2 linked regions of the Macaca mulatta genome follow. The protein of the gene in region 1 purifies or fractionates together with the protein of each later gene. This does not show direct contact. Links are inferred from orthologs where the notes say so. Each region holds a gene or a part of one and is shown on either strand. Other genes may lie near its edges. The genes, in order: SIRT6 and G3BP1.

What was found.
Region 2: the proteins of SIRT6 (region 1) and G3BP1 purify together in Homo sapiens (affinity purification with mass spectrometry; 3 studies listed by BioGRID and IntAct, with this or other methods). This does not show direct contact. The link is inferred for Macaca mulatta from reciprocal best matches to the Homo sapiens genes SIRT6 and G3BP1.

The regions. Positions count from the first base shown.
Region 1 is NC_133424.1:5,001,348-5,010,033, forward strand, and holds the end of SIRT6 (NAD-dependent protein deacylase sirtuin-6), read right to left. Parts: intron 8,023-8,686; coding exon 7,895-8,022; intron 6,368-7,894; coding exon 6,185-6,367; intron 3,850-6,184; coding exon 3,790-3,849; intron 2,633-3,789; coding exon 2,537-2,632; intron 2,456-2,536; coding exon 2,375-2,455; intron 1,824-2,374; coding exon 1,700-1,823; intron 1,619-1,699; coding exon 1,289-1,618; 3' UTR 781-1,288; downstream 1-780. UniProt on the Homo sapiens protein: NAD-dependent protein deacetylase, deacylase and mono-ADP-ribosyltransferase that plays an essential role in DNA damage repair, telomere maintenance, metabolic homeostasis, inflammation, tumorigenesis and aging.
Region 2 is NC_133411.1:160,728,558-160,737,471, reverse strand, and holds part of G3BP1 (ras GTPase-activating protein-binding protein 1), read right to left. Parts: intron 5,340-8,914; coding exon 5,258-5,339; intron 4,800-5,257; coding exon 4,626-4,799; intron 1,533-4,625; coding exon 1,442-1,532; intron 207-1,441; coding exon 110-206; intron 1-109. UniProt on the Homo sapiens protein: Protein involved in various processes, such as stress granule formation and innate immunity. Plays an essential role in stress granule formation.

The sequences.
Region 1 (8,686 bases):
AGGCGTCGGAAGTGGAGGGACTGCCCAAGGTCACAGCTGGGGAAGGTGGAACCCGGCTGCGCCTGCGCTCTTCTGTGGGGTCGCCCCCCACTGAGGGCTGTGTGCGCCTGCCAGGCTGCAATCCCAGTTGGGCCCAAAGCACTGGAGGGGGCTCATAGCCTGGCGGCAAATGTTAAACAAACAAACAAAAAATGCACATAAGTGTATAACTACAAACTGAGTGCTTAGAAAATGCCAGCTACCATGTTGACTTCATCAGAAAACTGGCCTGATCCCTCCAGAGGTGGGGTGGGTGAGGTGAGCCCTCTCCAGAGCCGGGAGAAGTGAGCCCTTGTTCCTCGCCCCCAGGCTTGAGGGGCAGGGATTGCAACGGAGCCCAGGCAGGTGGTTCAGGGAGGAGGGGACCACAAACTCCTGACCCGGGGGTGAGGACCTTCCACAAATTGGTAATTTAAACACTCACTGGGCATGGCGGCTCAAGCCAGTTAAGTCCAGCACTTTGGGAGGCCGAGCTGGCCTGACTGCTTGAGCCCAGGAATTTAAGACCAGCCTGGGCCACAGAGTGAGACCCCCATCTCTACAAAAAAAAATGCAAACAAATAGCTGGGTGTAGTGGCACAAACCTATAATCCCAGCTACTTGGGAGGCTGAGGCAGGAGAATCGCTTGAACCCAGGGAGGCAGAGGCTGCAGTGAACTGAGATCAAGCCACTGCATTCCAGCCTTGGTGACAGAGTGAGACTCTGGCTCAATAAAATAAAATAACATAAACACACTGAGATGCAAGAAGGAAATTTTTTATTGCATTGAGGACTTTTCCAGAAGCCTGGTGGACCCACGTCTCCCTCCAGCCCCAAAGGCAGTGCAAAGCCTCTACTGTGTCCCCCACTTCGAGGTGGGTCTCCCCTCCTGCAGGGTCCATGGAGGAGGGGTAGGGTGGGGTGTGGGGGGCCCAGTGGGGAGGCCCTGGGGGCAGAGGGAGTTCACTCCTGTTTAAGCTGGAGACCAGGGAGGGCCCAGCTGCACCTCTGGACAACACTCCATGTCAGAGGATGGGGTGTGGCAGGGGCTCAGCTGTTAGCTCTGGGGTGTGGCTTCTTCTCCAAACCCCACCAAAGGCCCCTAGAGCCCAGGGAGAGACCATGGAGGTCCGGTGCAACCCCTGGCCTGCAGCACAGCTCTCAGAGCCCTGAGGCTCCCGGGGACAGAAACAAGTAACAAAGTGAGACCACGAGAGGAAAAGAATCCACAGTTGCTACAAAAAGCCCCACCCTCCCCAAGCACCCTGGTCAGCTGGGGACCGCCTCGGCCTTTACCCTTTTGGGGGGTCTGTTGGGGGCAGGGCTGGTGGGCCGCTCCCGTTTGGGGCTGGCGGGCTCTGAGCCGTTGTGCTGGGCGCAGGGCTCCTGCTTGGGGCCGGCAGGGATAGAGCCGTTGATCCGGGTGGGTGATTCCTCCTTGGGCTCCAGCTTGGGGGTAGGCGGGCGGGGCAGGGGTGGCAGCGCCCTCTCCAGCACGTGGGGGCCGTCCCAGGCGGGGATCTCCAGCCCCAGGTGCTTCATGAGCCGGGTCATGACCTCGTCGACGTAGCCGTGGATGCGGAGGTCAGCATGGCGGTCCTGCCGGGGGACGGGATGGGTCAGGCATGTGGGGCAGAGGGTGCATGGTGGCCCTGGGCAGGGGTGGGCTCAGACACTTACGTGCTTGGTGGGCTGCAGGTTGACGATGACCAGGCGGCCCCCCCGGCGCTTGGTAGCCAGCGGCAGGTTCCCACTGGGTCGGATCTGCAGTGATGTTCCCAGCGTGATGGACAGGTCGGCGTTCCTGGGGCCAGGGAGTGTGGGCTTAGCCTGATCCCTTCCCCAGCCCTGCTCCTGCCAACATCTCGAGCCAGCCCTGGGGTCTGGCTCACACCTAGGTCATCTGCTCACTGGGGCGGTCAAGGCCAGCCCCGCTCCCGAGTCAGCCTTCGGGATCCTACGCCGCCCTCCTCTGCTGTCCGCTGGCAGGGTCATGGATCTGGGCCAGCCCTTAGACACTCCTAAGGAGCATCACAGTGTGGTAAGAGCTTGGATGCCTAGGGTGGGACCCTGGCTCAGCCACCTCCCGCTGGGCAGCACTGGATAGAGGAGACACCTGGCCAAAGCCTTGGTTTCCTTGTGCAGCACCCACCCAGAGCCATGAGGCGAGGAGTGTGTGTGTGTGTGTGTGTGTGTGTGTGTGTGTGTGTGTGCAGCCCCTGGCCTGGCCCACCTCCTCCAGGAAGCCTCCCCTGACTGCCTCTGAGCCAGAGCCACTGCCCCGTGCTGGAGCTGGCTGTGTTTGTGCTGTCGCCCCGGCCCGCCCCACCATAGGCTCCCTGGGGGGGGTCAGACCTGCTGGCCTCATCGGCGAGTGCCAGGTCCCGGTCGGGCAGGGAGTCCTCCCAGTCTAGGATGGTGTCCCTCAGCTCCCCCCTGCAATGAGGAAGCTGAGGAGAGTCCACAGGGGCCTAGCAGCCTCCCCTGGAGCCCAGGGCATGGGTGGGGGTGGCTCACCTGCAGGCCCGCAGCCCCCTTGCCTTAGCCACGGTGCAAAGCCGGCCCGTGGCCTTCAGGCCCATGGTGCCCACGACTGTGTCCCGGACATACTGCCTGTGTCGGGGAGGAAGGGGGAGGATGGGGCTGGGTCAGCCCCCGTGGGTGACTCTCGCACTGTTTCTAGGGTGACGTTCTCCCAGGAAGGTGGGTGGACAGGTCACCAGAACTAGCACCCAGAGACACGAACGAGGAGCCTTCCAGGAATAACAGGTCAGGATGCTGTTCGGTGCCCACACACAGAAAACAAAGCAGGAAACTGTCTCAGACAAAGCTCGAGAGACAGGACCCCGCATGGGATCCCGGACCAGGAGAAACAGGAACCACTGGAGCATGGGGACAACAGGCCGAGTCTGGATTCAGGATTAGAGAAGGCGATGTCCACTTTACTTTTCCTGACTTTAATCGTCATACTGGAACGGGTGCGGTGGCTCATGCCTTTCATCCTAGCACTTTGGGAGGCTGAGGCAGGCAGATCATGAGGTCAGGAGTACACCACCAGCCTGGCCAATATGGTGAAATCCCATCTCTACTAAAAATACAAAAATTAGGTGTGGTGGCGGGCGCCTGTAGTCCCAGTTACTCGGGAGGCTGAGGCAGAAGAATTGCTTGAACCTGGGAGGTAGAGGTTGCAGTGAGCTGAGATTGCGCCTAGTGCACTCCAGCCTGGGTGACAGAGCAAGACTGTCTCAAAAAAAAGGAGAAACACAGAGATAAGAAGGCCCCTGTAGCTATAGGCCCAGGACCACCAAGGGTGGCTGGCTGCCACCAGCAGCCACGAAAAGGCAGGAAAAATCCTCCACTACAGGTTGCAGAGGAGCACGGCCCTGCAGACACCTGGATTTTGGACTTCTGGCCCCCAGAACTGTCACAAATTTCTATTGCTCTAAAATGCTTATCTGCGGTAGGTTGCTATGGCAGTGCCAGGACATGGATGTACCCCCCCAGGAGGGAGGCATGCCCCAAAATCCCTCTAGGAGGCAGATATGCCCCTCAGATCCCCCCAGGAGGAAGGCATGACCCTCAGATCCCCCCAGGAGGGCCACACCCCAGTCCCCCCACATCCTCTGGGTCTCTGGGACAACAGATTCGGCCCCCAACCCCTCTGGCAGAGCCTGCCCTGAGGGAGGGATGGTGGCTGCATGGCTCACACTGTGCACCCGCCTGGGGGAAGCCTGGCAGAGCCTCTGCCCCTGCACCCAGGTGGCACTCACGTCTTACACTTGGCACATTCTTCCACGAACATGTTCCCATGAAGCTCTGCCAATTTGTCCCTGTGGGAGAAGAAGAGGCTCGATGGTGGGAAGGGCTCCCTGGATGCCCAGGCTTTGGGGCTGGTGCTAAGCCCCTCTACTCCAGGAAGGCTTCCCGGACTCCTCTCCCACAACATTGATCAACTCCTTTCTGGCTCTTCTAGCTCCTGGCTCCACCACTCATCTGCTATGTGTCTCTGGGCAAGTGGCCCAACCTCTCTGAGCCCAAGGAATCATTAACCCCTGCGGTTGAACCCACCTTAGATAACGGGAAGCCCTTTCCACTCAGAAAATGCCCGTCCCCTTCGACAGCATATGGGAACCTCTTGATGTCACCAGGTCAGAAGCACAGGAATTCAAATTCCCAGTTTATAATGGAAGAAACCGAGGCAATGAGTGGCCCTGAAGCATGAGATCCAATCCCAGCTTTATTTTATTTATTTATTTTATTTTATTTATTTATTTTTTTTTTTGAGACGGAGTCTCGCTCTGTCGCCCAGGCTGGAGTGCAGTGGCCGGATCTCAGCTCACCGCAAGCTCCGCCTCCTGGGTTCACGCCATTCTCCTGCCTCAGCCTCCCGAGTGGCTGGGACTACAGGCGCCCGCCACCTCGCCCGGCTAGTTTTTTGTATTTTTTTAGTAGAGACGGGGTTTCACCGTGTTAGCCAGGATGGTCTCGATCTCCTGACCTCGTGATCCGCCCGTCTCGGCCTCCCAAAGTGCTGGGATTACAGGCTTGAGCCACCGCGCCCGGCCTATTTTATTTTTTTGAGATGGAGTCTCGCTCTGTCGCCCAGGCTGGAGTGCAGTGGCGCGATATCAGCTCACTGCAAGTTCTGCCTCCCAGGTTCAAGCCGCCAGCTCACTGCAACCTCCACCTCCTGGGTTCAAGCGGTTCTCCTGCCTCAGCCTCCTGAGTAGCTGGGACTACCGGCACCCGCCACCATGCCTGGCTAATTTTTCTTTTTTTTGAGATGGGCTGGCTAATTTTTTGTATTTTTAGTAGAAAGGGGGTTTCACCATTTTAGCCAGGATGGTCTTGATCTCCTGACCTCGTGATCTGCCCGCCTTGGCCTCCCAAAGTGCTGGGATTACAGGCGTGAGCCACCGTGCCTGGCCTAATTTTTCTATTTTTAGTACAGACGGGGTTTCACCATGTGGCCAGGATGGTCTTGATCTCCTGACCTTGTGATCCACCCGCCTCGGCCTCCCAAAGTACTGGGATTACAGGCACAAGTCACCATACCCAGCCCTCCTTTGCTTTTTTTTTTTTTTTTTTTTGAGACAGAGTGTTGCTCTGTCGCCCAAGATGGAGTGCAGTGGCACCATCTCGGCTCACTGCAACCTCTGCCTCCCGGGTTCAAGTGATTCTCCTGACTCAGCCTCCCGAGTAGCTGAGATTACAGGTGTGTGCCACCACGCCCAGCTAATTTTTGCATTCTTAGTAGAGATGGGGTTTCACGATGTTGGCCAGGCTAGTCTCGAACTCTTGACCTTGTGATCCACCCTCCTTGGCCACCCAAAGCGCTGGGATTACAGATGTGAGACACCGTGCCCGGCCTCTCCTTTGCTTTCATAAGCAGAGAAAAAGCTCTTCCTCACCCCTTACCCCTGGGTGCCCAGCTCCTTGTTCAACAACTGACCTGGCTGTCACCGGCTGCTTCAGGGGTGAGACCCGGCAAAGAGGGGCAGGGGAGGGCCACACCTCTATTAGGAAATCAGTCAGCCCCAGAGCACAGGTTCACTTCAGTGTTAGACACGTTTAGTGTCAGATTAATAAAGATGGAAATTAAAAACACAACAGGCCGGGCGCGGTGGCTCACGCCTGTAATCCCAACACTTTGGGAGGCCGTGGCAGGCGGATCACCTGATGTCAGGAGTTCAAGACCAGCCTGACCAACATGCAGAAACCCCGTCTCTACTAAAAATACAAAATTAGCTGGATGCAGTGGCACCTGCCTGTAATCCCAGCTACTCAGGAAGCTGAGGCAGGAGAATTGCTTGAACCCGGGAGGCTGAGCCGAGATTACGCCATTGCACTCCAGCCTGGGCAACAAGAGTGAAACTCGGTCTCAAAAACAACAACAACAACAACAACAACAAACTGCAACTTCTAGACCCTGACAGCTCTGCTCCACTCGGCCCCATCCCAAGGGAAATTCTGCCTCTGGCCCCGGCGGGGACAGCTCTGAGCCATGGGGCTCAGAAATCTCCACACACTGGGCCAAGAAAGATCCAGAGAGCTCAGGGCTAGAATCTTACAGAACCAGGAAAAGGGGACTTTCCCCCTAAAAACGCAAACCCGGTTTATGGGGCCCCAAGTGCTTTCCTGGGGGGGGCGGGGCCCGGGTGTTACCTAGGGAAGCCTGAGCGCACATGGAGCCCGTCCACGTTCTGGCTGACCAGGAAGCGAAGGAGGCCCACGCGTTCCAGCTGCACCAGCGCCATGTGGGTCTGCGTGGGCCGTGCGCTCTCAAAGGTGGTGTCGAACTTGGGGGCCAGGCCTCGCTCCTCCATGGTCCAGACTCCGTGGGGACCCCTGAAGGTGACAGGCCGGGAGAGATGGACAGGCAGAGGGGAACGGAAAAAGAGACAGAGGGAGCATCAGAGAGGCATAGAGAGAAAGTTGGAGAGAGAGACAATCGGGAGACAGAGAGAGGGAATCAGAAAGAGAGAAATAGAGGGTGAGTCGGAAGAACAGGGAGAGGGGGATAGAACAAGACACAGACAGAGAGATAAAGAGTGAAAGACAAAGAAAGCAAGTCAGAGACAGAATAGGAGAGAGAAAGAGAGAGGGAGAGGCAGAGAGAGATGAATTCACACCAAGGCAAAAATGACTTGTTCTATTCAACCAGCACTGCTGCTGCAATGAGCCCGGACGATGCCCACATGGACCCAAGCCCTGCCCTCCAGAAGCCCTTGATCTTGGGGGAGACATGTGGACACAGACCCTCTGGCCCCAAGAGTCAAGCCTGGACCAGAGGAGGTACCCGGGCTTGGGGAAGCCCAGTGGAGGTGTTGGGGGCCCTGGGCTTCTCCAGGCCCAGGTATCTCTTTTGGTCCAGGCTTGACTGGGCTTCCTGGAGGAGGCTGAGCAGTTTCTTGAAGGGTGAGAGGGAAGATCAGCCAGAAGGCGTAAACAAAGGCCTGGGTGCTGGGAAGAGCTGGGAAATGCAGGTGTTTTGGGGCTGCAGCAGGAGCAGGAGGGGCTGAAGTTGGAGAGGTGATTCAGGGCTGGAGCAGGAAGGGCTTCAGCTTCCAGCACAAGGTATTCAGAACTCTACACTGCCTGGCAATGGGAAGCCACAGCAGGTTATGGAAGAGGAGGAGGAGTAGAAATTCACGCCTTGGAATTCTTTTTTTTTTTTTTTTTTTTTTTTTGAGATGGAGTCTGGCTCTGTCGCCCAGGCTGGAGTGCAATGGCACGATCGTGGCTAACTGCGAACTCCACCTCCCGGGTTCAAGCGATTCTCCCACCTTGGCCTCCCAAGTAGCTGGGATTACAGGTGCCCGCCACCATGCCTGGCTACACTTGCAAGTGTGAAAGACTACATTTCCCAGCATTCCTTGAAGCCATATGTGATCAGGCGACTGTGTTCTGGCCAATGGGGTGAGTGGAATGCTGGTTGTGACAGGGACACATCTTCATTTTGTTTTGTTTGTTTTTAGACAGAGCCTCACTCTGTCGCCCAGGCTGGAGTGCAGTGGTGCGATCTCGGCTCACTGCCTCCACCTCCCAGGTTCAAGAGATTCTCCTGCCTCAGCCTCCCAAGTAGCTGGGACTACAGATGTGTGCCACCACACCTGGCTAATTTTTGTATTCTTAGTAGAGACAGGGATTCATCATATTGGCCAGGCTGGTCTGGAACTCCTGACCTTGTGATCCCCCACGCCCAGCCAAGGGACACATCTTACGGGGAGGGGGTGTTGCCCCTTTCCAGTACCCAGGACACATCCAGGAGAACAGCAGATGGATGGGTTCTAATTCCCAGATGTATATGGCTCGCAAGGAAGCCCCTGGCAGCCTGGTGGGCCTTGCCTCGAATTCCCCTGCACACTCACAGACCTGAAGTCGGGAATGCCAGAGGCAGTGCTGATGCCGGCACCCGTGTGGAACACCACATGGGAAGACTGCCAGACCAGCCTTGCCAGCTCCCACACCTTCCGCTCCAGCTCCTCCGGGGGGTCGAAGATCTGTGGGGGGAGAGAGCAGATGGAGGGGTCAAAACAGTTCCCCGAGTGGCAAGGCCACACACAAGCCACAGACTGAGCTGTCCCTGTCTTGCCTGAGGGAGGAAAACGGATTGGAAAAGGCAGCTTGTCCTCATGCCCCTCCTCTGCCTACAACCTTCCATGACTCCCACTTGCCTTGTCAAAGCCCTAGCCCTCCCCACGGCCCACCAGGCCCTGTACTACCTCCCCTGCCCCCTCCCTGCCCTCTTCTCCTCCCTCTCCCCGCCTCACTCTGCTCCAGCCACACAGGTCTCCTCCCTGTTCCTCCATCACACCAGGCACAGTCCTGCTTCAGGGCCACACCCTTTAATGCTCTTCCCCTAGATACCCACATGGCTCCCTCCCTCACCTCCTGTAACTTGTGGCTCAGATGTCACTTCTGTGACAGTGACGCCTCCCTTGGCCACCTGGTTTCCATGCAACCCCTAGTCAGTCTCTCTTACTAGAAAGAGGGGTTTTTAATCTGTCTTGCTCCTGGCTGTGGCCCTAGTACCTAGAAAGTGCCTGACACACGGTAGGTACTCCATAAATGCTGGTAGAATAAAGTGACTAACAGGCCGGGCGTGGTGGCTCACGCCTGTAATCCCAGCACTTTGGGAGGCCAAGGTGGGTGGATCACTTGAGG
Region 2 (8,914 bases), on another chromosome or scaffold:
TATTATTTTGAGGTAATTCTCAGAATATGTAAATGCCCTCCAACAAAGGGAAAGACTAGACAATGCAAGTTCTTATGCAGCCGCAGACATGTGAACAAAATTTTCTTACCTGACAACTGCCTGATCATAGAAAGTTCCAGAATCATCAGGTACCACCTCAGGTGTTTGCTGTCTTTCTTCAGGTTCCTCTACTTCTTCTTCAGATTCTAAGTGAGAAAAAGATATTTAAAGTAATTTGTACTTACTGAATTCACATATACATTCACTTTCACAATGTTCACAAAACAACAGTGAAGAAAAACACATATAAATAAAGTAGGGCAATTTGGTAAAAATCATGGCATTGACTTTAAGGACAGAACTAAGGCTTTTAAGGATAGACCTTTTTTTGGTTTGTTTTTTTTGTTTTTTTTTTTTTTTTGAGACGGAGTCTCGCTCTGTCGCCCAGGCTAGAGTGCAGTGGCGCAATCTCGGCTCACTGGAAGTTCCACCTCCCGGGTTCACACCATTCTCCTGCCTCAGTCTCCCAAGTAGCTAGGCGTCCGCCACCACGCCTGGCTAATTTTTTCTATTTTTAGTAGAGACAGGGTTTCACCATGTTAGCGAGGATGGTCTCGATCTCCTGACCTCGTGATCCGCCTGCCTTGGCCTCCCAAAGTGCTGGGATTACAGGCGTAAGCCACCACGCTCGGCCTTAAGGATAGACTTTAAGGCTACTGTAGTGTCTTGGTTTTTAAGAGCATGGAGCCTAATGCAGGCTTTCACATAACTGGCTACATTAGCCAAATTACATTAGGCAGTTATCTAATGCAGGCTCTACCACTTTACTAGCTAGGCAAATGACTGCTTATCTGTAAAACTATATTACAAATTAAATATACTCTCAGCCAAATAAACAACATGCAAATTCTATTATTTTGGAGAAAATTTTCCATGAGTCTCTGTGTCTACACATCTTCCATGCCTACCCTTTCTTCTAGACTGTCTTTCAAGAACATTTATAGAGCAAACAGCTTTGAAAGCGTATCTCCCCCCAGCACAAAGAGTAGGCATGTTTACTGCCTGTTGTAATAGATCTGTGTTCCCTAAACTCAGTGTCCCATGCCTTTAACACAACCCACTGCAGTAGAAGTATCATCTAGCCTTCTTCATGACATCCTGTTGGTAAATGTGGCAAAAATGCTACTACCGTTGCTGTGAGGTAACCTGTCTCCTTCTGACCTAAGAGTCTTTTATCTTCTACTAACATCCACGATATAAGCTAACCTGTTAGCAGCTTCAAGTAGGGTAAAACCTCAGATTCTTCATATGCCATGATAATTAGTTATTAATGAAGAACAGAGTGTAATGAAAACAGTAAAGAAACGCATGGTCTCTTAAGGGCAATCTGATGCCATTAAAAAAAATGTAGACAAGTAATTTAAAATATTTCACTACTTACCCTCCTGAGGCTCAGTGACAAACCCACCAAAGACCTCATCTTGGTATCTGAAGATATCATTGTGAACATAGAATTTATTTGCAACAGACCCCTGCAATGCCAACAGAAAGTTTTAATTTATTCAACAGACTTTTAGAAAGTCAAATCACTCCACACCATTGGTGACTGAGACAAGTCTGCTTCCATGAGACATCTGGCAATGTCTGGAGACATTTCAGTTTTTGTTGTTGTGGGGTTTTCAGACAGGGTCTTGCTGTCACCCAGGTGGGGGTGCAGTGGGCCATCACAGCTCACTGCAGCCTTGAAATCCCAGGCTCAAGGGATCTTCCTGCCTCAGCCTCCTAAGTAGCTAGGACTACAGTGGCGCGCCACCTTGAAAGGTTAATTTCTCTTTTTTCTTTTCTTTTTTGAGACAGGATCTTGTTAAACTGCCCTGATTGGTCTTTAATTCCTGGGCTCAAGTGGTCCTCCTGCCTCAGTCTCCCAAAGTTCTGAATTATGGGTATGAGCCAGCATGCCCTGCCGACATTTCAGTATTCACTACAGGGAATGCTACTGACAACTTATAAGGTTAGGGATGCTGCTAAATTCCTGCAATGCACAGGACAGGCTCCCACAACAAAGAATTAGTTGATCCAAAATGTCAACAGTGCCAAGACTGAAAATGCCCACTCGACAATAGCTGGTAACAAGACTACACTCACATATTTGCTCAAAACACTTTACCTCACCATAAGATAAATACGCAGAAACTGACAAAGTTCTAAGTATGTAAGATGCCACAGTTCACACCTCAAATCATTATAAGGCAATCATATTCTGGATGGGCGCAGTGGCTCATGCCTGTAATCCCAGCACTTTGGGAGGCCAAGGCGGGCAGATCACCTAAGGTCAGGAGTTCAAGACCACCCTGGCCAATATGGTGAAATCCCATCTCTACTAAAAATACAAAAATGAGATAGGCATAAAGGGCCACGCCTGTAGTCCCAGCTGCTAGGGAGGCTGAGGTGGGAGGATCACTTGAACCTGGGAGGTGGAGGGTGCAGTGAACCCAGACTGCACCTCTGCGCTCCAGCCTGGGCAACAGAGCGAGACCTTGTCTCAAAAAAAAAAAGGCAATCATAGTCCTAACTTCAGCAGGTATTCCCCCAAGTCTGTATCCAAAAATATTGATATAAACACTCGAGAGTAATGTAGCCTGAAAAAGATTGCTCGCACTAGGTATAAGACACACCTGAGTGCAGATCCAATTATATAATTTATGAGTTATTCAGTTCCTAAGGCTGTTACTCCTCTGTGAAAAGAGAGGTATCAGCTAGGCACAGTGGCTCGCTCAACTCCTGAAATCCCAACACTTTGGACGGCTGAGGTAGAACTGCTTAAGCCCAGGAGTTTGAGACTAGCCTGGGCAACATACTTTTTGTAGAGTGTGTCTCTACAAAAACAAAAACAAAAATTAGCCAGGAATGGTAGCCTGTGCTTGCGGTCCCTGCTACTTGGGAAGCTCAGGTGGGATTATCATTTCAGCCCAGGCAGTCAAGGTTGCAGTATGTCATGATCCTACCACTGCACTCCAGCCTGGCTAACACAGGGAGACTCTTATCTCAAAAAACAGAAAGGAAAGATATAAACGTATGCTTCAATACTCTGTGTACTAAATGAGACAGTTTACATAACAGTGTATTATACTAACGAGAAGTTAGATACTTCCTTTAAAAGAAAAAAAAAACTATAATTAAACCTATAATTGACAATCATACTCCATGTGATTCTTTGCATATTTAGAAGTCTACCACATCTTTACATTTTAATCTAAGCCTTCCTCTAAAAATTATGACAGTAATGGCTTCGTGTAATTTTGCACAGACAAAAAGTTATCTCATATTCAAAGGTTAAAAGATTTTAGGTGTTTTTAGGTTTGCTATCCTAAAAAGAAAATTTAAGATTAATGCTAGAAGAAACAATGATTTAATCAACAAGTTCATACTGTGCCATTTCTATATACATGCTTAAGCAGACTGGATTCCTAACCTTGTTCAGTCTAGACCAATCCGGAAGAAAACACAAATGCAATCATTCAACATAAACTTGTCATCCTTTCGTAAGTATAACTAAAAAGAACCAGGCCTCCTTGAAGGAACAGGTGATTCAAGAATAGGGGCTGGGCCAGGAACAGTGCAAGATGAACCTGAAACATCTTATGCCGTAAGTGTTCAAAAAAGATAAAAAGAGAATCTCCCATCCTTTATTTACAAATCAAAAGAGAAAAAATAAGGCTGTGCACAGTGGCTCACACCTGTAATCCCTGTACTTTGGGAAGCGGAGGCAGGTGGATCACTTGAGGTCAGGAGTTAGAGACCAGCCTGACAAACATGGTTTGTCATCTTCTACTAAAAATACCAAAATCAGTCAAGTGTGGTGGCACGCTCCTAGTCCCAGCTATTCGGGAGGCTGAGGCAGGAGAACAGCCTGAACCCAGGAGGCGGAGGTTGCAGTGAGCAGAGATGGAGCCACTGAACTCCAGCCTGGACGACAGAGTGAGACTCCGTCTCCAAAAAAAAGAGAGAGAGAGAGAGAAAACATATTTAACTTTACAGTGGCAAAACTTAACTAATCAAAATTCATATCACAACTTAATGACATAATGTGCCTCTCTAACGTGAGGCAATGAATGACACACATAAAGCATCCTACAAAAAAAAGTGATTATGCTCTTCAAAAATGTCAATGCAATAAAAAAAAAACCAAAAGATTAAGGAACAACTGCAGATTAGAAAAGACTAGAGACATGATAGCTAAATGCAATGTGCAATTATAGATTCCATGTTGGACAAGGAAAAAAAATAACTCTAAGACATTATTGGGATAATTTCCAAATTTTAAATATGGATTATAGAATAATTATACTGCATCAACATTTCCTGAATTTGATAACTGTACTATAGAATGGAAGAGAATTCTTTATTCTTAGGAAATGCCCACTGGAGTATTTTAGAGAAAGAATTACACACATGTGGGCAAGTGGTGACAGCTGCTCTAGGTAAGGTGTATAGGAGTTATTGTACCATTATTCCAAGTTTTCTGTAAGTCTGAAATTTCAAGTGTTATTAAAGATATGCACAACCGTTCATTGTTTTTTTTTTCCATGTTTCGATCATTACAAAATAATCATCCCTATACATACCTCAGGAGCAAGGACAAACGTTTGCATGAATCTCCTCAAAGCCTGGTTGTTGTTAGAGAGAAGCCCCATCACCTGGACTACCACACCATCATTTAGCGTGGCATGAGCATCAACATGGCGAATCTTGGTGTGGCAGTTGGTGAAATTTTGTGACATCACTTTCCTGTGGATTTCCTTAAAAAAAAAAAAAAAATCAACTGTGAATGCCTTAAAATTTAAATAACCTCCAACTAAAAAAAAACTTTCAACAAAACACAGGTAAAGAGAATGTACATATTTAAATTATAGGAAACGCAGACTGGATTTTGATGTTTCTTTGTATACCCTATTCCCAGTGACCACACTTGAGTTTTTTAAATAACTGTTCTGAATTAACACAAAGATGACCCCCATGCTAAAGCCAATTATCTTCCAACACACACAAGCTTTGTATCATGCAAAATTAACAAATCTGACATCACATAAATATTTCAACAAATATATTAATCAAATAGTAATAAAACACATCAACTTTTACTAAAAAGTTGAGAAATTTGATCCTCATCACCAAAACCTATTAAGTATGATCCACTTCAATTTTATGAGTTATTTTCTACCTGCTTAACAGCCTAAATAAGGCTTGAAATGCTTACTTTCTGTCCGTAGACTGCATCTGCTGGCTTTCCATTTGAATCCAATCCCCCATGGACATAAGAAGAGTTCTTTCCATAAAATCTGTAAAATGGGAAGATGATTTACTTGTCATCTTCAAGTATCTTAAGTTTTTTTTTTTTTTTTTCATGTTTGATACTGGCAAATTTCTTTTTTTGGAGATGGGGTCTCAATCTGTCACCCAGGCTGGATTGCAGTGATGCGATCATACCTCACTGCAGCTTCTATGTGCCACGGCCAAGTGATCCTCTAGCCTCAGCTTCCCAAAGTAGCTGGAACTACAGGCACATGCCACCATGCCTGGCTGATTATTTTTATTTAAGTAAAAATAAGGTCTCACTACGTTGCCCAGGCTGGTCTCGAACTCACAAACTCAAACAATCCTACCTGCCTTGGCTTCCCAAAGTGCTGGAATTATAGGCGTCAGTCACCGCGCCTGGCCCTGGCAGAAATGTGTTTTCTTTTTCATCTTTGTATGCAATCATCTCTCTATCCCCTACATGCCACTTGATCAACATCTGCTGAATGGGAATGGATTTGGTTCCAGGTTTCGGCGTAGGATGATACTGTTGGGAAGGATCTTGTAGTTGCATGTCAAGATGGCCACCAATACATAAGTTCCTATTTTCACTCAGGAAGAAAATATGCAGTAAGGCTGGAACAGCTATATTCTCCATAGACTTCAAGTGTCCTTTAATTAATGTATCTGAGAATAAATGTGAGCAGTTTCCCTTAAACACCTAGTTCATGCAAGTGGTTTTAAAAGCACTTTTTAATCATTTTTGCTGATGCAATTAAGAATGTCAAAGTCAATTCCTCATAGTTTTCACCCATCTATGTCCTTCTTTGATCCATTTTCATTAAAACAATATTCCATCAAGAAAGCAACACACCAAAATGCTCTAACCCAGGGACAACCACTATTAAGATTTGACATTTGTCTTCCATCTTCCAGGTAAACACCTTTTTTTTTTTTTTTTTTTTTTTTGAGACAGAGTCTCATGCTGTTGCTCATTCTGGAGTGCCGTGGCGCAGTCTCAGCTCACTGCAACCTCCGCCTTTTTTTGTATTTTTAGTACAGAGAGAGGGTTTCGCCATATTGGCCAGGCTGGTCTTGAACTCCTGACCTCAAGTGATCCACCCACCTCAGCCTCTCAGTCCACCTCAGCCTCTCAGCACACCTCAGCTTCTCAAAGTGCTGGGATTACAGGCATGAGCCACCATGCCTGGCCTATACTTCTTTCTTGTTGTCATGTTTTATGTCAGTTTTATTCTATGGGGTTGAAATAAATTAACCAAATATAAAAACACAAAAAAAGGCTGGACGCGATGGCTCACGCCTGTAATCCCAACACTTTGGGAGGCCAAGGTGGGCGGATCACCTGAAGTCAGAAGTTCGAGACCAGCCTGACCAACATAGGGAAACCCTGTCTCCACCAAAAATACAAAATTAGCCAGGCGTGGTGGCGCATGCCTGTAATCCCAGCTACTCGGGAGGCTAAGGCAGGAGTACCACTTAAACATGGGAGACACAGGTTGCGGTGAGCCAAGATAGCGCCATTGCACTCCAACCTGGGCAACAAGAACGAAACTCCATCTCGGGAAAAAAAAAAAAAAAAAAAGAGCCAGGCATGGTGGTGGTGTGCACCCGTAGTCCCAACTACTCAGGAGGCTGAGGCAGGAGGATCACTGGAACCCGGGAGGCAGAGGCTACAGTGAGCTGAGATCTCACCATGGCATTCCAGGCTGGGTGACAGAGCGAGACTCCACCAAAAAAAAAAAAAATATATACACACACACACACACACACACACACACACAAACTTAGCTGGGCATGGTAGTGCATGCCTGTAGTCCTAGCTATGTAGGAAACTGAGGCAAGAGGATCACTTGAGCCCAGGAGGTCAAGCTATGATCGCACCATTGCACTTCAGCCTGGGCAACAGAGTAAGACTGTCTCAAAAAAAAAAGAAAAAAGAAAAAAGAAAAGGAAGGAAGGGTAAAAACTGCTTAGAGACTTGTTCTACCACTTAACAGTCATGTGCATATGTACTAGCAAATTTTTAAACACTCTGAGTGTATCTGCAAAATGAAGTTAACTCTCTTACAATGCCTTACCCTTCACTAAAGATTTTTGTAATGATCAGGAGGAAATGAGAAAAAATGTTCTGGAAATTTTAAACCCTTAACAAAAAACCCAAGGGTGGTGGTTCACACCTGTAATCCCAGGATTTTGGAAGGCTGAAGCAAGCGAATTGCTTGAGTCCAGGAGTTCGAGATCAGCTTGGGCAAAATGGTAAAACCGTCTCTACAAAAAAAATTAGCTGAGTGTGGTGGATTGTACCTCAGTCCCAGCTACTCAGGAGGCTGAGGTGGGAGGACAGTCTGAGCCCAAGAGTTCAAGGCTGCAGTGAGCTGTGACCTTGCCACCTGCACTCCAGCCCAGGAGAGAGATGAGACTGACTCACTCTCACTCCCTCTCTCTCTCTCCCTCCCTCTCTCTCTCTCACACACACGACACACACACACTCTCACACACCTCACACACACACACGAGATACATTCCATTGTCAGAGCAATGTCAAAACCAGCATTGAAAACATTCGTAAATTTTATTTTATACCTGATAATCATGTGGTATCCAATATGTAAGCTGGTCAAGGTATAAGGGAAAAAATAGTTCTGGTCCAGCGAATACACATTTTGAAACTATGAAATTATTCTAACAAAGCCACATAAATAGACAGTTTTGTATAAAGTGACATTGTAAGAGAAAATAATAGAAGCAATCTATAGATCCATCACTAGGAGATTAAAGTACACCATATCTCCATAAAAAACTTTGTAGCCACTAAAATTAATGGGATACAAATATTACCCTGAAAACATGATTCCAGATTATCAAGTAAGAAAGTTAAGACAGTATATTAAAACATGTTTCTTTTTTGTTTGTTTGTTTGTTTTTTTTTGTTTTTTTTTTTTTGAGACGGAGTCTCGCTCTGTCGCCCAGGCTGGAGTGCAGTGGCCGGATCTCAGCTCACTGCAAGCTCCGCCTCCTGGGTTCACGCCATTCTCCTGCCTCAGCCTCCCGAGTAGCTGGGACTACAGGCGCCCGCCACCTCGCCCGGCTAGTTTTTTGTATTTTTTTTAGTAGAGACGGGGTTTCACCGTGTTAGTCAGGATGGTCTCGATCTCCTGACCTCGTGATCCGCCCGTCTCGGCCTCCCAAAGTGCTGGGATTACAGGCTTGAGCCACCGCGCCCGGCCACATGTTTCTATATATACAGAAAAACTGTTCCTGTGGTTTTACTGCTTTCATAATTTGTTTTAATTTTCAATAAGCATGCATCATTTTCTACTAAAGACACTGTAATTTTTTAAAGCACATCAACACAAAAGTATGGTATTACAGAAACAGTCACGGATTGTCTTCAATACATTCTTATTTTTTACATCCACCTCAGCTCCAGCAATCTTTATACTTTCTTAGCCAATAATGCATAACTATACCTTTACATTTCAACCGTTATTTTCCAATAATGTACAAGTTTGGGTAACTTAGTTTAACTTTTAAAAATTATTTTTTGGGGCTAGGAGCAGTGGCTCACGCCTGTAATCCCAGGACTTTCGGAGGCCGA